2 linked regions of the Oreochromis niloticus genome follow. The protein of the gene in region 1 purifies or fractionates together with the protein of each later gene. This does not show direct contact. Links are inferred from orthologs where the notes say so. Each region holds a gene or a part of one and is shown on either strand. Other genes may lie near its edges.

What was found. Proteins that work in one complex are often made in the same cells at the same time.
Region 2: the proteins of rnf139 (region 1) and insig1 purify together in Homo sapiens (affinity purification with western blotting, with the first as the bait; 3 studies listed by BioGRID). This does not show direct contact. The link is inferred for Oreochromis niloticus from reciprocal best matches to the Homo sapiens genes RNF139 and INSIG1.

Annotation. Positions count from the first base shown.
Region 1 is NC_031985.2:2,280,230-2,288,531, reverse strand, and holds the start of rnf139 (E3 ubiquitin-protein ligase RNF139), read right to left. Parts: upstream 3,213-8,302; 5' UTR 2,850-3,212; coding exon 2,687-2,849; intron 1,355-2,686; coding exon 699-1,354; intron 25-698; coding exon 1-24. Other genes in the region: deoxyribonuclease TATDN1, read right to left, coding at 4,410-4,512, 4,637-4,763, 5,029-5,120, 5,153-5,256, 5,589-5,629, 5,711-5,796, 6,159-6,201, 6,315-6,458 and 3 more. UniProt on the Homo sapiens protein: E3-ubiquitin ligase; acts as a negative regulator of cell proliferation through mechanisms involving G2/M arrest and cell death.
Region 2 is NC_031974.2:16,865,334-16,872,914, forward strand, and holds the start of insig1 (insulin-induced gene 1 protein), read right to left. Parts: upstream 3,197-7,581; 5' UTR 3,074-3,196; intron 2,834-3,073; 5' UTR 2,691-2,833; coding exon 2,686-2,690; exon of another isoform or gene 2,659-2,685; intron 2,574-2,658; exon of another isoform or gene 2,569-2,573; coding exon 2,462-2,568; intron 2,362-2,461; coding exon 2,011-2,361; intron 437-2,010; coding exon 312-436; intron 53-311; coding exon 1-52. UniProt on the Homo sapiens protein: Oxysterol-binding protein that mediates feedback control of cholesterol synthesis by controlling both endoplasmic reticulum to Golgi transport of SCAP and degradation of HMGCR.

The sequences.
Region 1 (8,302 bases):
CACATCCCAGCTCAGCAGGTAACCCTGAAAACGGTGCAGTCACACAGGTACACGCGTCACCTTTACTCATAATCCCTTTTAGCTTCAGTTCAGACTCTGCAGACTTTTTAGGTGAGACTTTATTATTAACAGCAGCACAGAACATGAAGAAGCATCTTCAGTAGAAATGAGGTTGTTAAAGAATTATGACCTTGTTATGTAGTGTGCATAATTTTTAACTGCTCTTCAGACATCAGACACTGTTTATAAATTATTAAAAGCATATTTCACATTGAAATTTCTGTGTATACACACACAAATACCAGCATAATATACCTGTAAAACACTGCAAAGAGCTAATGTGCCAGCTGGACTTTACTTGGCTACAGTACACAGGAAACCTGTAGAGGTCACCTACATACATTTTAGGCTTTCGGAGATATTTTTAAACACACAGGAGTTAATATTTAGATATAATTACGGAAATCCAACAGGGGCGCCTGGGGCTGCAAAAGGAAAACTTCTTTCCCCAAACAAATATATGACTTTTGTAAACATGATATGTCAAAGACTTAATAATGTCATTAACCAAATATCAATTCACTGTGGCTAACAACTTGTTAGCTTACCTTGCTTTACAGTCCTACTGGACACTAAAGTGACCATCATATAGCAAACATGTCCTAGAAGTGAAGTTTTTTTTATGTAAAAGCATTTACCTGTGCATCAGAGCTCCCATCTGCAGCTCCACCTGTGGCATCTCCGCTCTCTCTCCCCACCGCCTGCACCACGTAAACCAGTATCAGTGCCTGGGCTGTTACCCGGGTCAGCCAGAACACTCGAAGCACATCAGGGAACCTGATCCTCTTCCACGTGTCTTCCAGCAGCAGCTGGAGTCCATAGATCCTGTACATGTGCCGTACGAGCAGGTAGACGTACCGGCATGAATAGTAGAACCATTTGAGCCTTGTGGCGAGGCAAACGGCCGTACTGAGAGCCAGCACCAGGCCCGAGAACATTGCCACCAGATGCCTGACATCTGCAGGAAGTTCAATCATCAGCCCCCACAGAGGAATCATGATGTCCAGGACCACCAGCGCAGCAAACACCGACTGGAGGTTAAGCAAAAACACATAGCCAATCCCAAAGACGAGCTGGACGGCGGCCATGCCCAGCCACAGCGTCGGCCCGTTTCTAGGCAGCAACCTGAAGCCCAAGGCTGCTTTGTAGTAGGCATTGTAGAAGTCCATGTGGGAGGTGGCGTAGTAGTTTATGAGGACTGCTGCCATGCCAAGGAGGACAGCAAAGAATAGAGTGTAGAACTTAAACAAGGCTTTCTGAGAAAGCAGCAGCACCACAGTGGAGATGAGGACACCTGGAACACACCGGAGAAGCAGTCAGAAAGACAGGAAAGGTAAATATTTCTCACTGCAAACTGAACAAATGTCAAATGTCAGCTAACTGTAGCTTCCAAGTTTGTTTGATTATAGTGAGTAGTTAGATCAGTCTTTGTGAGAAAACACCAGATGCTGCACATTAATGAATTTTGGAGCAAAAATAATCAGCATAGAGTTGAGTAATCCTGATAAGTAAAAGGCTGAACAAGCAGCTAGACAAACTGTTACACTCCTTGATTTTTCATAACAATTAGGCCAGACAAATACCACGCATAACAAAAACAAACAAACAAAGAAATGCCTTTCACAGTCCATGTAATGCTACGTGTGCATTTGATAACACTATGATAAACTGATTGTACATACTGTAGAGGACCTCAACCAACGTGAGCCTTACTGCTTTAATATAATGTTAGTTCAAACATCTGGCACTATGGAGTCTCTGTTCCTGTACTAAACATAAAGAAAGACGGGTACAGAAGCAAACCCAACAGCTAATCTCACTTCCTGTCCATCCAAACCCAGAGCTCTTGGCTAACACTTTCAGACGGCCCGAGCTGCTCAAAGGTCTGCAAACTGGAAAACTGAGTTACATAACTTGTTTGTTGACTCAACACAGAGAAGCTTTACTCTGTCAGAGTGATGAAAACGATGAGCTTTTATGAATTACGGTGTGTAGAGGAAACTCAAAGTTAGTCAGGCTACAGACTTATTCAATCAATAAATAAAAAGTGAAACAGATTTTTGTTAGTAGCAGCTCTGGTAATTACACAACACTAGTCCAGAATGTAATTCCCCTGTCCGAAAATATGACAAGTGCCAAGGCATACAAATGATGTGCATAAAGTGGGACACCAGGTCAACACACGCTGATATAACGTCACAGGTACTCTGAAACTCCTGCAGAGTTCAGACCAGAGAGCAGCTCTCTGAGTACAGTTAGAGGAGGAGAAGTAGCGAGCTTTGTCAGGAAGAAGGACCTGAATATGATTCATCTGTGTTCAAGGTGCCTCTGAGGCCATCCGCGACACCACAAATCACACTTGTGACAACACACCTTGACGTTAGCTAGCTAGTTAGCTTGCGAGCTGCTGGCGCCAGAGGAGAGTAAATTAGGGTCGAGGTGAAGCAGTTAAGCAGCGTGTCAGACGGATCTGTCCTGTGTAAATGTTATTGCTGGTCGCTTAATCGGCTTTAGCCGGTCTGACAGGTGACACAGCTCCACACAGCGGACTAATGTCAAGGCTAACGCGGCTAGCTCGTTGTTGCTGAGGGAAACTTATGGGCTCCTTCATGTTAAAAATACTTACCCATGACTCTGACCAACACCTTCCCCATCGCCCCGGCCATTCCCGAGCCAGGGTCGTAGTAAGAGTTAAAAATGGCGTCGATAATAAAAATACATGGAACTCGCAGAGCCACATCCAGCACCACCAAGGCCTGCTGGCCTATCCGGGCTTGAGTAGACGCCATACGGCTTTGGTGGAGGGCTTTTATAGTCCTGAAGAGACCCGGCTATCCATGTAACGGTGAGATACGTGACGAGTCACCCGGCAGCCGTCCTTCGTCTTCAGTTTCGCTTTGCCCAACGCTTATTCGGCAGCTGCAAGCCTGCATCTGTCCGCCATGTTCGTCCACCTCAACCTCCTGTTGCTTCTCCGGGTTAAAACGCTCCCACCCTCCGTGTTACAGCCGACAGCCGGCAGCCGTTAAACTTCACGACCCCCATCAGACCCGGAGCTGTCCGCTGTCACAAAACCTATGAAGGCATCTCTAAATGTCCGTTTGTCAGTGCTGTGAAAGCGCCACTGGACTTCTTTTTTTTAATAACCAAAGAAGTTGCCAGGATGGTACGACGTATCGCGTCGTGGCGTCGGTGGGCGTGGCAGCTGACGTAACATTTCTACAAACTATAAAATTACACGTCATTTTTACTGTGTACTCTTTGTTACACGTTTTAATGTAGACGTTATTTTGCTTTCAGATGATGGTATGCTGGTATAGACACCCATAAATAAAATATAACATTTAATATAATAATAATACCATTATAAAAGTATATTAAATATATTTCAGTTTACTGCATTTAGATTTCAGGTTAGTTTTATACCTTATTAAATTATTTGTGTCTTATCGTATTTGATTTAAACAAACATTTCACAGACTTTGGGATTTCAAAACATCTTGAGGATCCCCAAAAGTTGTGGAAAATATTCTATGGACGGAGAAAAGTTGAACTTTTTGAAAGGTACAAATGCTGTTACATCTGGCATAAAACTAAGACAGCTTTTCATAAAAAGGTCATACCAACAGTCAAACGTGGTGGCGGTAGTGTGATGGTCTGGGGCTGCTTTGCTGCTTCTGGACCTGGATGACTTGCCGTAACTGGTAGAATCATAAATTCTGTTGTCTATCAGAATTTCTTTCAAGTTCAAGAGCGCTCAAGTTATGCAGCAGCACAATGATAGTGACACACCAGCAAGTCCACCTCTGCATGACTAAAAAAAACAAACCTCTGAGCATGCTTTTGATGGACTTCAGCATGACTCAAAAACAAGCCGACTGAATTAAAATAACTTTGCAAAGAACATTTAACCAAAGACTCATCGCCAGGTACCGAAAACGGCTGATTTTAGCTCTTGCTGCAAATGTTGGCACAGCCAGTTTATTAGGTTTTGTATAACTTTTTCTATTAATAAATTAAGATTTGAAAAGTCTGCATTTGCTTGGGTTACTTTAGTATAATATTAAAACTTGTTTGATGATCTGAAGCAAAAGCACTGTAGGGGTACTTAAACAATCACAAACATCAAAGCTTTTTGTGTGGTTTGAATAAACTCATTAACATTTATGTTTTTCTAAACACAATAACTGATATGTTCCTTATGAAAAAAAATTATGTTTATTTTGCATTAACAGAGGACTGTAAACACAAATAATATAACAGTATAAGTGGTTTGTCCTGAGGCGCACAAACCGATTCATAAAAGAATATTAATGACACATCGGTGAGTCTGATGATGTCACTTATTATCAGCTTGAGCGGAAGAAGACTTTGACAGTGTTGTTGTAGATTGTGTTGCCCAGCTCCAGTGGATCCTCCTCCCTCGCCGCTGCCATCACCTCCAGGACTTGTCTGCAAGAGACAAACAGTGAAATCTTAAAATTAAAGGTTTATTGTGTTTAACAATATTCATGCTTCAGTGCGACGTCTGATTGTATCCATTGGATTTATTAAGCTTTTCCCTTTAGTGACTTACATGATATGACAGGGCTCATTCCGGTCCTTCAGGCAGTGTCCTGCCTCCCACTTCTTCTTTGTGGGAAATGTAGTTTTAACATATTTGGACCCGGCATGAGTGTTCTTCACACCACACCACGGGGCATCTGGAAATGAGCAGGAAGGTGGAAATCCATAAATAACATAAATGTAGCATTTAAAGAACTGTAATATCAGTTAAATATTTCTATAAAGTGAGCATAAACCTATTTTAATCTAATATATTCCCACTTATTGGTGATACAGCTTCAACAAGAATATAAAACAAATGACTCCAGAGCTTTAAGAGAACTTTAATATAAAGGTTCACTGTGTGATCAAACTCAGGCCACATTCTGCCAAAAGCTTTAAAATAAACAGACTGTGACTCACCTGTTTCTATCATGAGCCTCTCTGTGGGGATCGACTTCATAGCTTCAATATTGGCCTCTGTTTTCAAGGAACTGAAAGATATGGAAGTGAGACTCAGTGTGACTCTGGTCAAGTTCAAGGAAACCGAACAACATTTCTCAGATTATCCCACCATCCATTTATTCCAATATAGAGGTCGAGGTCTATGAGAGCAGCAGCGTCTTCTGCAGTTCCATCAAACGAGTGGACCTGAAATTCAAAATAGCAATAACGCAGAAGAATTTTGATCTGATTCATTCATAAAGTGACTCAGTGGCTTTTTAAATATGTAAACAATGTTTTGCAAATTAGTTTTAATGGATGAAATCAGGTTTGTTTGTGAATTTATCCCAACAAAAGTATTAACTTCACAGAATTTTACATTTTAGGTCTTTATTCTGTTCAGTTTACATTGAGTATTGTAACCTGTCACAAAATAATTCACTTTTACGGAGGTTGTTTTCGCATCTCCAGGATCCAGGATGTGGAAAGCATATCCTTCTCTGTAAGTACTATGATATTAGACATCATATCATCCTTACCACTCCTCCAACACATCGGTCTCGATTTCTCTTCATGATGTCTGTGGAAACAAAAACAGTCAAATGTTTTGCATAAAAATCAAATTCCTGAACCAGATCAGGTGTCTGCTTCACAAACCTACCGATGAACTCCTGATGGGAGTTCCTGCAGTGGAGGAACATGGGCAGCTTGGTCTCCTCCGCCAGGTCAAACTGCTTCTCAAAGTATCTGCAACACACCAGAAGGAGCAAATTGAGGCACAGGAAACAAAAGTCCATGAGGGCCATTTAAGCTAAAGGCCATTTTCGTATAGACTTCTAAAGAAAGCAGGTTAAAGGTACTTTCACTTTTCAGACTGGGAAACAATCCGCAAGTCTGTGGAGTCATAAATGAACCATCATGTTTATTAGAAGGAAATCTTCAGGGGAAAAAAAGCTTTTAGACTTTTTGGCACATCTATCAGGTTTCACTGGTAACTTAAGCAGTCACTATTAAAATTCCAAATGTGGCCTTAAAAAATGGCCGCCGAGTGGCAAGATTTGCTTCTAGAAGGCCTTTTTTCAAAACTCGTGAAAATCACACAAACTTACTTGAGCTGAGTTTCTTTTGGGCAAAATTCCAGCCTGTCAAAATCTGAAATGAGGAGAAAAGAAACAACACAAACCCACAGAGTGAAAAATAAATAAGGTGTAAATGAAGACTTCTTTCTGTCATGTACATTCATACACGTGCTCATGTACACACACCCAGTCCACACTCTCCGATGGCCACCACCTTTCCTCTGTGTGCTGCTGCCAGCTCCCTCAGCCCAGTTAAATACTGGGATTCTCCATTCTGCTCAAACTCGCCGCAGCGGGTGGGATGGCAGCCGACCGTGCAGTAGAACTCATCTGTGATAAAGGAGGGAGCTTGTTAAAGGTGAGACGCTCCAGCACGGAGGAAAACATTAGGTAGGTTTGGCTGATTCTTTAAGACCACGAATCATTTGGTTGCACAAAACGTGTTGTCATTATTACCTCTGGTCTCAGCTAGTTTAAGAGCTTCCCTGCTGTCTTCAAGGCTCCCCCCTGTGATCATAAACTGCAACAGATAAAACACGCAATCATTACAACTGAGAACAAATAACTTTCAAATTACAGATTTCCAACATACACAAAAAAGAGTAACTATGATATTATATTGTTTTATATCTGCATCAGCATCCTGACTACTTGCACCACAATTCTTTAGCATATATAATGAGGCTCAGCATGATAGAGTATACCGACTTATATGTTGAGTGTACTTAAAATAAAGGTGAGGCTTTTTGTTCTTGTTCTTCTCTTCTTTCCCTCATCGCCTAGCCCATTTCAGGGAATGAAATAAATGAGGGTTTTGTCCGGGATATTAAACCTCATAAACATCTCCAACAGCTATTAGCCAAACTGTTGCTGTAAAAATCTCTATCATCCCACAATTTCACGATTACCTTTTTTAAAACAAATCAACACCGCAGCGATCCCTGAATTCATGGCTATGATTAAAATACATGAGGCTTCATCAAAGTGATGGACACAGCATACCTTTTCAACTCCTACTTTGAGAGCTCGGGCAATGATCTCATTGAAGTCATCTGTCAGGAAAACGTGAGACTCAGAAAAACATAATGTGAACAGCCCCACAGTGAAAATAAGAGTGAAGCAGTAGCTCACCGTCATGTTTCTGCTTCCCTCTGTAGAGTCCTCTGAACATGGGATCTGTCAGATTCACCCCGATGTCTGAAGAGCAAGAGGTCAGAATTTATCTACGTGTACTGACTCAGAGAGTGTTACTGATTGTATCTTTGTAATTAAAGCATCACAGTATTGGTACCAGCATCGTGCTGAGAGACGCTCTGAGGTCACGTTATACGGTAACACTGAACACATTTAGCAGTAATGGATACTTTACTTACAAACAATAGAAACACATTGGAAATACAGTCATATAACAAAACAAGTAATTACAACAGCTTCAATATCCTGCTGAATATTTACATAACAGATTATCTGTCTGTAGCCTACAAAATGTAAAACTATAATAAACACCTAAATTCTACAACAGTCATGAACTGAGTTTAATAACAATTATTAGTTTTAAAGAATTTATTTCAGTCCATTGGTAATCTTCATAGTGACTCATTGCGAGGTATCGCATACTTTAAATACTTCTTTGACATACTTTGAAACACAGGTGGGCTTTCATTTAGAAATTACTAGATGATTCTTTCAGAAATATTAACAATTTTCTGTCAGCTAAGTTACTAAATTGCTTGGAGACATCTAAGTGCACTGAGAACTGCTCTGCTTTTTAGACATTTCCATTTTGTAGTCGACGTTAATATTTAAATCAAAGATGAGCTGCTGGATGTACTGATTTGCATCATTTTATCTCAGTTGATTTTAACTTTTTGTAGCTAGGACTACAACCCTACACAGCTTACAGTTGTGCTTAATGAAGAGCAACCACAGGCTGTATGCAGAGGAGCTGCACAGACGGGGTAAAGGGTTTGACTTGGTTAAATCTAATATATAGCAGTACAGAGCTCAGGCTCTGCTATATCTTCTACACATCTTCTTCATTGCCAGCACAGAACCAACTGCTGATCAGCTGCAGTCTACTGTGAGCTGCCATCATGGCAGCCGAACTACTGTAAACCTGAAATAAAGTGCCCGGTATACTGTATTCCTGCACAGCTGTAATCCTGTCACTCAGT
Region 2 (7,581 bases), on another chromosome or scaffold:
ACAAGGCTGCTAGCGTTAAGGAGAGCTGCACGTTGTTGTCGAAGTCTAGTTTCTGTGTTCCGGGAAGTTAAGGACAAAAATCAAACAGCACGAGGATAACATATGATTATTTCTTACGCAAATATTTGGCCACCATCAAGTTGCACCACCTCTTTTTGCAAAAGGATAAAGCAGATTAGTGAGCTGATGCAGACAGCAGCCAAACTTCAGTTAATTACTGGTGTACTTTTCCACTCTACTGTAACAAACAAAGTATCACAAAAGTAGCAAAAGTGCATTTGAGTGCTGCACGGGACATGGCGAAAGGATACAACACTGGCGTGGTTGATACCGACGAACACAGCGATACACCTCATGACGCTCGCCCATTCCCTCTTGAACTTGTGCGGCTCTCCCAAGTGGCTGTCGAGACAGGGATACAGCAGGCCGATAACAGCTGCAAAAAAAAAAATCAAAAAAGGGAACAAACAGTCTTGAATTGTGCCAGATAAGCAGAACTTCTGTGAAATAAAAATAGGGCAAACTGTGTCATAGAGACAAACTGCTGAAGGTGCATTTCCACAGTTAGCGACACACCTGCTGTACATGCACTTCAAAACCCCCACATGAGGAATATGCATAAACATTAGCTTTAATTTTAAAGTTGTCTTTTACTTTTTAAGTGTGACTTTTTAATGCAACTCCCTGCTTTGTGTGTACCAATCATTTTCTTCTACATACTGTCATTAAAAGTCCAAGAATTCGTGAAGGAAACTATGTAACCACACTATTATAATGTAAAAAGGAAATACACAGTGGATATCTTACAAGAAGTGGAGTTACAGGAATTATTACCTGGATCACGGGACAATGAATACGAAACCATTTTGACATTCGATTCGTCACTTAAAAAAACAAAACTGTTCACAGAAAGCACCAGATGCTTTTTAATACCAGGCTCTTAAGTCAGAGGATTTACTTCATCCCTCTAGCTTTTGTTAGTATATTTTTCACCTTATTCGGGCTCCAAGAAGCTTTTATCTGAGAAAATACCTCATTTGACTCCTCATTGACAATCTTTAGCTGCAATCCTACTAGGAATAGCATGCTCAGATGAGTCTGAATCAATTGTCCTGGTGAACTGATAGTTGACAGAAACTGGATCTGTGGCAGTTGCTTGTTGTGGAAACTGAAATATTATCTGTTTCTTGGGCTATTTATAAAGCACAAGAAGACATTTAATGACATCACCTTCAGGTGTGGGAAAGTAAAGAACAGTTTTCTTCATCTGTTGCATGACACTGGGGCTTTAAAACGGGAAGCCTGGTGCAAAGCCATAAGCCTACATCTCTTATTTCTTGGTTTGTTTCTGTCCTGCAGCATGCAATGACGAGAGGAGGGGGAGGAGCCAAGCATTTACGCGCTTCTTTCTTTCCCTCACTTCCCTGTTTCTGGCCTTAAAAGTACCTCCCCTCTCAGCTCACCCGTTATGACACCATCCAATGAGCTCGCAGCTCGCCTCGTGTCCGGCTGCTGCGACCAATCAGAGCGCAATAAAAAACAACATCCGTTCCAAGCCATTTTTTTTTTTACTTTTTGATAACAGCCAGACTTAATGATGCCTTCAAAACTGAGTCATAATTAATATGAAACAAAAACAAAACTGAATGGTGATTCATTGTCATCTGATCATACAAATGCTGCTGACAGTGGTGATGAGAAAAGGGATGTGCTTCTGCTGTATGCGGTTTAAATTTCTGCTGCTTATGGCAAAATCCAGCTCACAAAGGGGGATTTCCTGACCATAAGAGCCCATTTTATATACACAAGCGGTAAAACACACCACATATTATTTAAAGTGTCATTTTCTCTTTATAAGGGAAGGCTGTTGCGCTCTAACTCCTCCCCTCTCTGCATTCCTTTGTCCCCAAATTAGCCGCAAACTACTGATCACCCGGGTAAAACTACCCTTGCAGGGTCGTTTATAAAGCACCAACTAAGCTTTATAAAATCAGCCTTTTATTCACTCACCGGCTCCTGTACCGCAGCAAGGTGGGATCCACCATGCGGACGAAAACAAAGTTGTCATCACCTCCTCGGGGAAGAGGGTAACATTTCTTTGTATCTGGAGCAAGTTGAGCACCAGGGCCAGGAACACTCCGACCGTGAAGAGGACGACACCCCGGCGGATCAGGTTGGCCGTTCGGACGTCGTGCAGGGAGATGTAGGCACTGCTGAGCACCGATGTGATGATCGACATCATCTCTTCAGCTCTGGATGCCAACCAGTTTGCGCCAGATGATGGGTGCTTAGTTTCGGTCTTTGATGAAGTGGAGCAGCTCCAACAATGCTCCTCCAGCCTAGGCATTTGGCACTTTAAAGCTAGAAAAGGAAACGCGACAGTCAACACACGAGTTCCACTGTTTTCACGTTGAAAGAAAAAAATCGAAGAAATTGTTAAAAAATTGTTCCGGCTGCTTACCTTGATCTCCAGACGTCTTCAGAGTCAGCTCCAAGCAGAATCCTCTTCTCCTGTTCATTCGCGCCTCGGCAAGCAGATTTAAGCCAGGATCCCCCCTCCTCGTTTTCCTGCTCTTTTACAACAAGAGAACTGCAGTCACGTTGTTTGTTCACATCATCGTCAGCAAACACACGCAGAGCGAGAGAGAAAAAACACACAGTGCTCCTCCATTCCACCGCACAGACCTCATACCACCGACGAGAGCTTCCTCTGCAGAAAACAATCACAGCTGTGTCGGGTGAGAATCGGCAGCCAATCAGAGCTAGGCGGCTGATATGACGTGACGCCACCCCACCGCCCACTTCGTCCGGGACAGACGCACAAACAGGGAGGCTGGAGAGCAGAAGTGAAAGTGGAAACGCCAAACAGCGGCTCTTTAAAAAAAAGCCCGTATTCTCTCTATGATAGTTTACAAGAAAGTAAAAAAGAAGTCTAAGAGACAGAGGAGCCGGTTAAAAACATACGGAATAAAAGTAGTAACTATGACTTAACTACCACAGTACCACAGCTGTATTTTAGCTTTATATTCAACTAGAATATTACTCATTTTTTTAAAGGTAAATGTGCGTTTACCAGGCAGATCTCACGCTCCACCCCTTTTAGGTGTTGAATTATTCACTGATATTCTCTAAACAAACGCTGCTTTTCTTCGTCTGTAACTAAACTCACAGCAGTCCTCTGCACCCTTATATATCAAGCCTTTGGGAAATGGGGTCAGTGGCACAGTTCGTTTGTTTAAAAAAAACAAACAAACCGGTAAACTTTGGGTCACTTTAGAGGAGGTGTGGCTTGGAAGGAGGCTCGGGAGGGCGTGTAGTGCCAGCGCACGTCTGTTAGAGATAACGTGTATTCTGAAAGGTTCAATACCCCGATCACATGTAGACTTTTGGGGCTCGTTCGACAACAACGCGAAAACGTGTTTTGCAAGAATCTGCGTTATCCAGTCGGTCGTGAGTAGGTCAGTACAATAACAAACACCCTCCTGCTGGATACGTGCAGCAGGGCACATGCGACTACCGGAGCACATTTTGCTTCTGAGCCCGAGGAAAACCTCACCTCGCACGTGGATGAAAATCTACTCCCGTGCAAGCTTTCTCACTTGTTGTGTTTCCAAAAAAGATTAATCAAACGTTTTCCGTTCTTTTCACTTTGTAACCCCCCCCCAAAAAAAAAACCTGAGTCACATTTACTTAATAATATCAGCTTCTGGCACTTAGAAAGCAATACCATGGATGAATCATTTCTTTATGCAAATAAGACTTGGAAAAAGTGAGTTGATGCCTCATGACCTGGAGCAAATGTGGTAAACAAAAACAGAGACCGTATCAGTGTGACAGCATTTCATTTCAATTAGGTTTAATTAAATGTCTTTTTTGGGGGGTGTAATTAACAGTGCTCTTGGTATTTTGGGGGTATTATATTAATCGTGTGTGTGTGTTTTTGGCACATTTGTGGTGTTCAAATGTAGAGAGTTCGGCACTAAATCAGGGTGCAATGTTGGTTTTCACCCAATGTTCAGCTTCAAAGCTTCCAACCAGCTGCCGAATTTATCTCTTCTTAGTTATGGCTGATTTGATGTGCAGTGTGGAGAAAAACAATGTACGATTTATCAGGAGTATTTATGGAAATAACTGTATTTATAATAATACTACTACTAATAATAATAATAATGGACATGGTAACACTGTGGGCACACCAAGGACTTTTTAGTTTTGCTAGTGGTTTTTGGCTCTAGGGTTTGGTTGCCTCACCACTTCGGCTGCATGGCCATGAAATTTGGTGAAGAAAATCAGAGTCTTCAGGGGTCAAATCATAATGAGTCTGTTGATTCTCTGACTTTTGTTCTAGCACCACAAACAGATTAAAGGCAGCAGTTATCCTGTTATATGTATCAACATCTACTTGTTGGATTCACACTGTTTTTCATAGTTATGTTATTGGTCCCACAGAATCTGAGTATTATTACTCAGTTAAATACACCGCCCAGTGAAAAAAAACAAAAGGCACCGCTTGTATTTAACTAACCAGAATTTATGCAGGGATCAATATGATTCAGCTGGCTTTTTAACCCTAACTGAAGCAGCGAGAAGCTTCTCGTTAAGAACTGTCCAGGTTTTAACTGTATTGTTAAAACCTGGAAGGTTATTGATGAACCGGCACCTTTGAGGAAGAAATGGTATTGGATAAAAATCCTGAGTGATCGTGATTGGATTTCACTTAAACATCTGGTGAAATTAAATAAAAACAGCAACAATAAACCTCATGGCCATGTTAAAAGGGATAGTAAAAGCATTTTCACACACACACACACACACACACACACACACACACACACACACACACACACAATGAAAAGAACTGAAGGAATTGGGGTGTGTAGCTGTACAGCTGTGCAGCCTTATGCATGGATTGGCCACCACAGAGTCCAGACCTTTACCACTGAGAATCTTTGGGATGTGCTGGAAAAGACTTTACCCAGCAGTCTGATTCTGCTTATCAAAATAACGCCAGGTCGAATACATGCCTTCATTATAAGCTAAAGGTAGTCCAACGAAATTATAGAGTGCCTGACTTTTTGTTGTCTAAGCAGTATACTTTAGAACATCGTGGATGGAAAACCTCAGTGATTCACTTTGAGCAAGCAGTTGGAAACTCTTTTAACCAGAGGAATCCTGTTGACTCCTGCACGGTCTGAGAAAAAAGAACATATAAAATCTTTTTCACCTTCATTTTTTTCATTTAAGGAACGTTTTGAAATTGTGATCTACAGTCATGTATTTGTGTCATTGCACCGAGATTTTTGTAATACCCTATTTACTGGCTCATCTCTTCTCTTTTACACCTCCAAGCAATACAAAATGCTCTAGCAAGCAAGCTCACACTACTCCAATTTTATTCTCTTTACATTGGTTCCCGGTTGATTTTGAATCACGTTTTTAAAATTCTCACACTTGAAGCACTAAACAGACATGTTCCAGACTATATTATATCTCAACTTCTTGTTAAATGCACAGCTGTTCGCTATCTTCTCTCACAAGCTCAAAATCTATCAGTTTTCCGTTATACAAGACCGAAGACCATAGGAGAACAGATCCTCTTAGTCTGTGCATCAAGGCAATGAAACAATTTAATACTTCACCCCTTGTTAGCAGATTCGGTAGAATCCTTTTAAAGAAAACAGTTGAAAACCTTTCCGCTTTATCACGCCTTTTGTTGAGATTCTTTTGGTATTTATATTTTTATCGATTTCTGCTAGATATTTATTGCTTTGCACAGATAAAAAGCTCTATATAAATACATTTTGCTTACCTTTTTATTCTATTTTAGCATGGTTCTCTATTGATATTAATTGTTCTCCAAAAGTTGAATCTGTTCATCTGGACGTAGCGTTTTGTGGGAGAAACGTTTCGTCACTCATCCAAGTGACTTCTTCAGTCTCAGCTGACTGCAGGTTTCCCCAAACCTTATAAACAGTACATTTGCATAATGACTGAAACCAGCCCACTGAAGGAACAATGGGCTGTGAGGTCAGTTCCTTAATCATAATAATGCAAATTCCCATGACCCTGGATTTTGTTGAGAAGGTGAGAGATGTCATTATGGAGGCAGATGAAACCATGGTCTCGTACGACGTTACATCTCTCTTCACTTGCATCCCAGTCACGGAAGCGTTGGAGGTAGTCCGTAAGAGATTACAGGATGACACCAACCTCAGCAACAGGACCACTCTCAGCATCGACCAAGTGTGTTTGCTTTTGGAACTGTGTCTTCATTCCACCTACTTCACATACAAGGGTCAGTTCTACAGGCAGAAACATGGGTGTGCCATGGGCTCCCCAGTTTCACCCATCGTGGCCAATTTGTACATGGAAGAAGTGGAAAAGAGGGCGTTGCTATCCTACCCTGGAACACCACCAAGCCATTGGTTCAGATATGTGGATGACACCTGGGTGAAAATCAAATCTCAGGACGTACTACATTTCACGGATCACATTAACTCGGTGGACCGACACATCAAATTCACCAGGGAGGATATGAAAAGTGGCAGGTTAGCCTTCTTAGACTGTGAGATTTCCATCAGTAATGGGGGACATCTAAAAGCTGACGTGTACCGTAAACCTACGCATACGGATCAGTATCTAAGGTTTGACTCTTATCATCCACTGGAGCACAAACTGGGTGTCATCAGGACGCTACAACACAGAGCGAACACCATCCCCACTGACACAGCAGCCAGGGAGGCAGAAGAACAGCACATCAAGAAGGCCCTGAGTAAATGTGGATATCCTAGCTGGACTTTTGTCAAAGCTGGGAAGGCACCTAAAGAAAGCTCCAGCCGATCCAGGAGAGAAGGACAACCGCTGCCCAGGTGAAAACCTGTAGTGATCCCGTATGTGTCAGGAGTATCGGAACAGTTGAGACGCATTTTTTCTAAACACCGGGTCTCTGTGGCTTTTAAACCCCAAAATACGCTGCGCCAAAAACTGGTCCACCCCAAGGATCGGGTCCCCCGACACAAACAGAGTAACATAGTGTACGCTGTTAAGTGCCAGGAGGATTGCCAGGATTTATACATCGGGGAAACCAAACAACCTCTAGCGAAGCGGATGGCACAACACAGAAGAGCTACCTCGTCAGGCCAGGACTCTGCAGTTTATTTACACCTACAGGCCAGTGGACACTCTTTCAACGATGAGGATGTACACATCCTGGACAGGGAAGAACGCTGGTTTGAGCGCGGAGTCAAGGAGGCCATTTACGTGAAAAGGGAAAGACCATCTCTGAATCGAGGAGGGGGCCTAAGGGTACATCTTTCGCCATCTTACAATGCTGTGATTGCAGCCATTCCCCAACTCTCTGTGAATGGTACTCATGGCCATTGATCAGTGTTCTTTGATCAGTGGGTTTTGGTCAGTGATTGTTGATCAATGGTCATGGGAATTTGCATAATTATGATTAAGGAACTGACCTCACAGCCCATTGTTCCTTCAGTGGGCTGGTTTCAGTCATTATGCAAATGTACTGTTTATAAGGTTTAGGGAAACCTGCAGTCAGCTGAGACTGAAGAAGTCACTTGGATG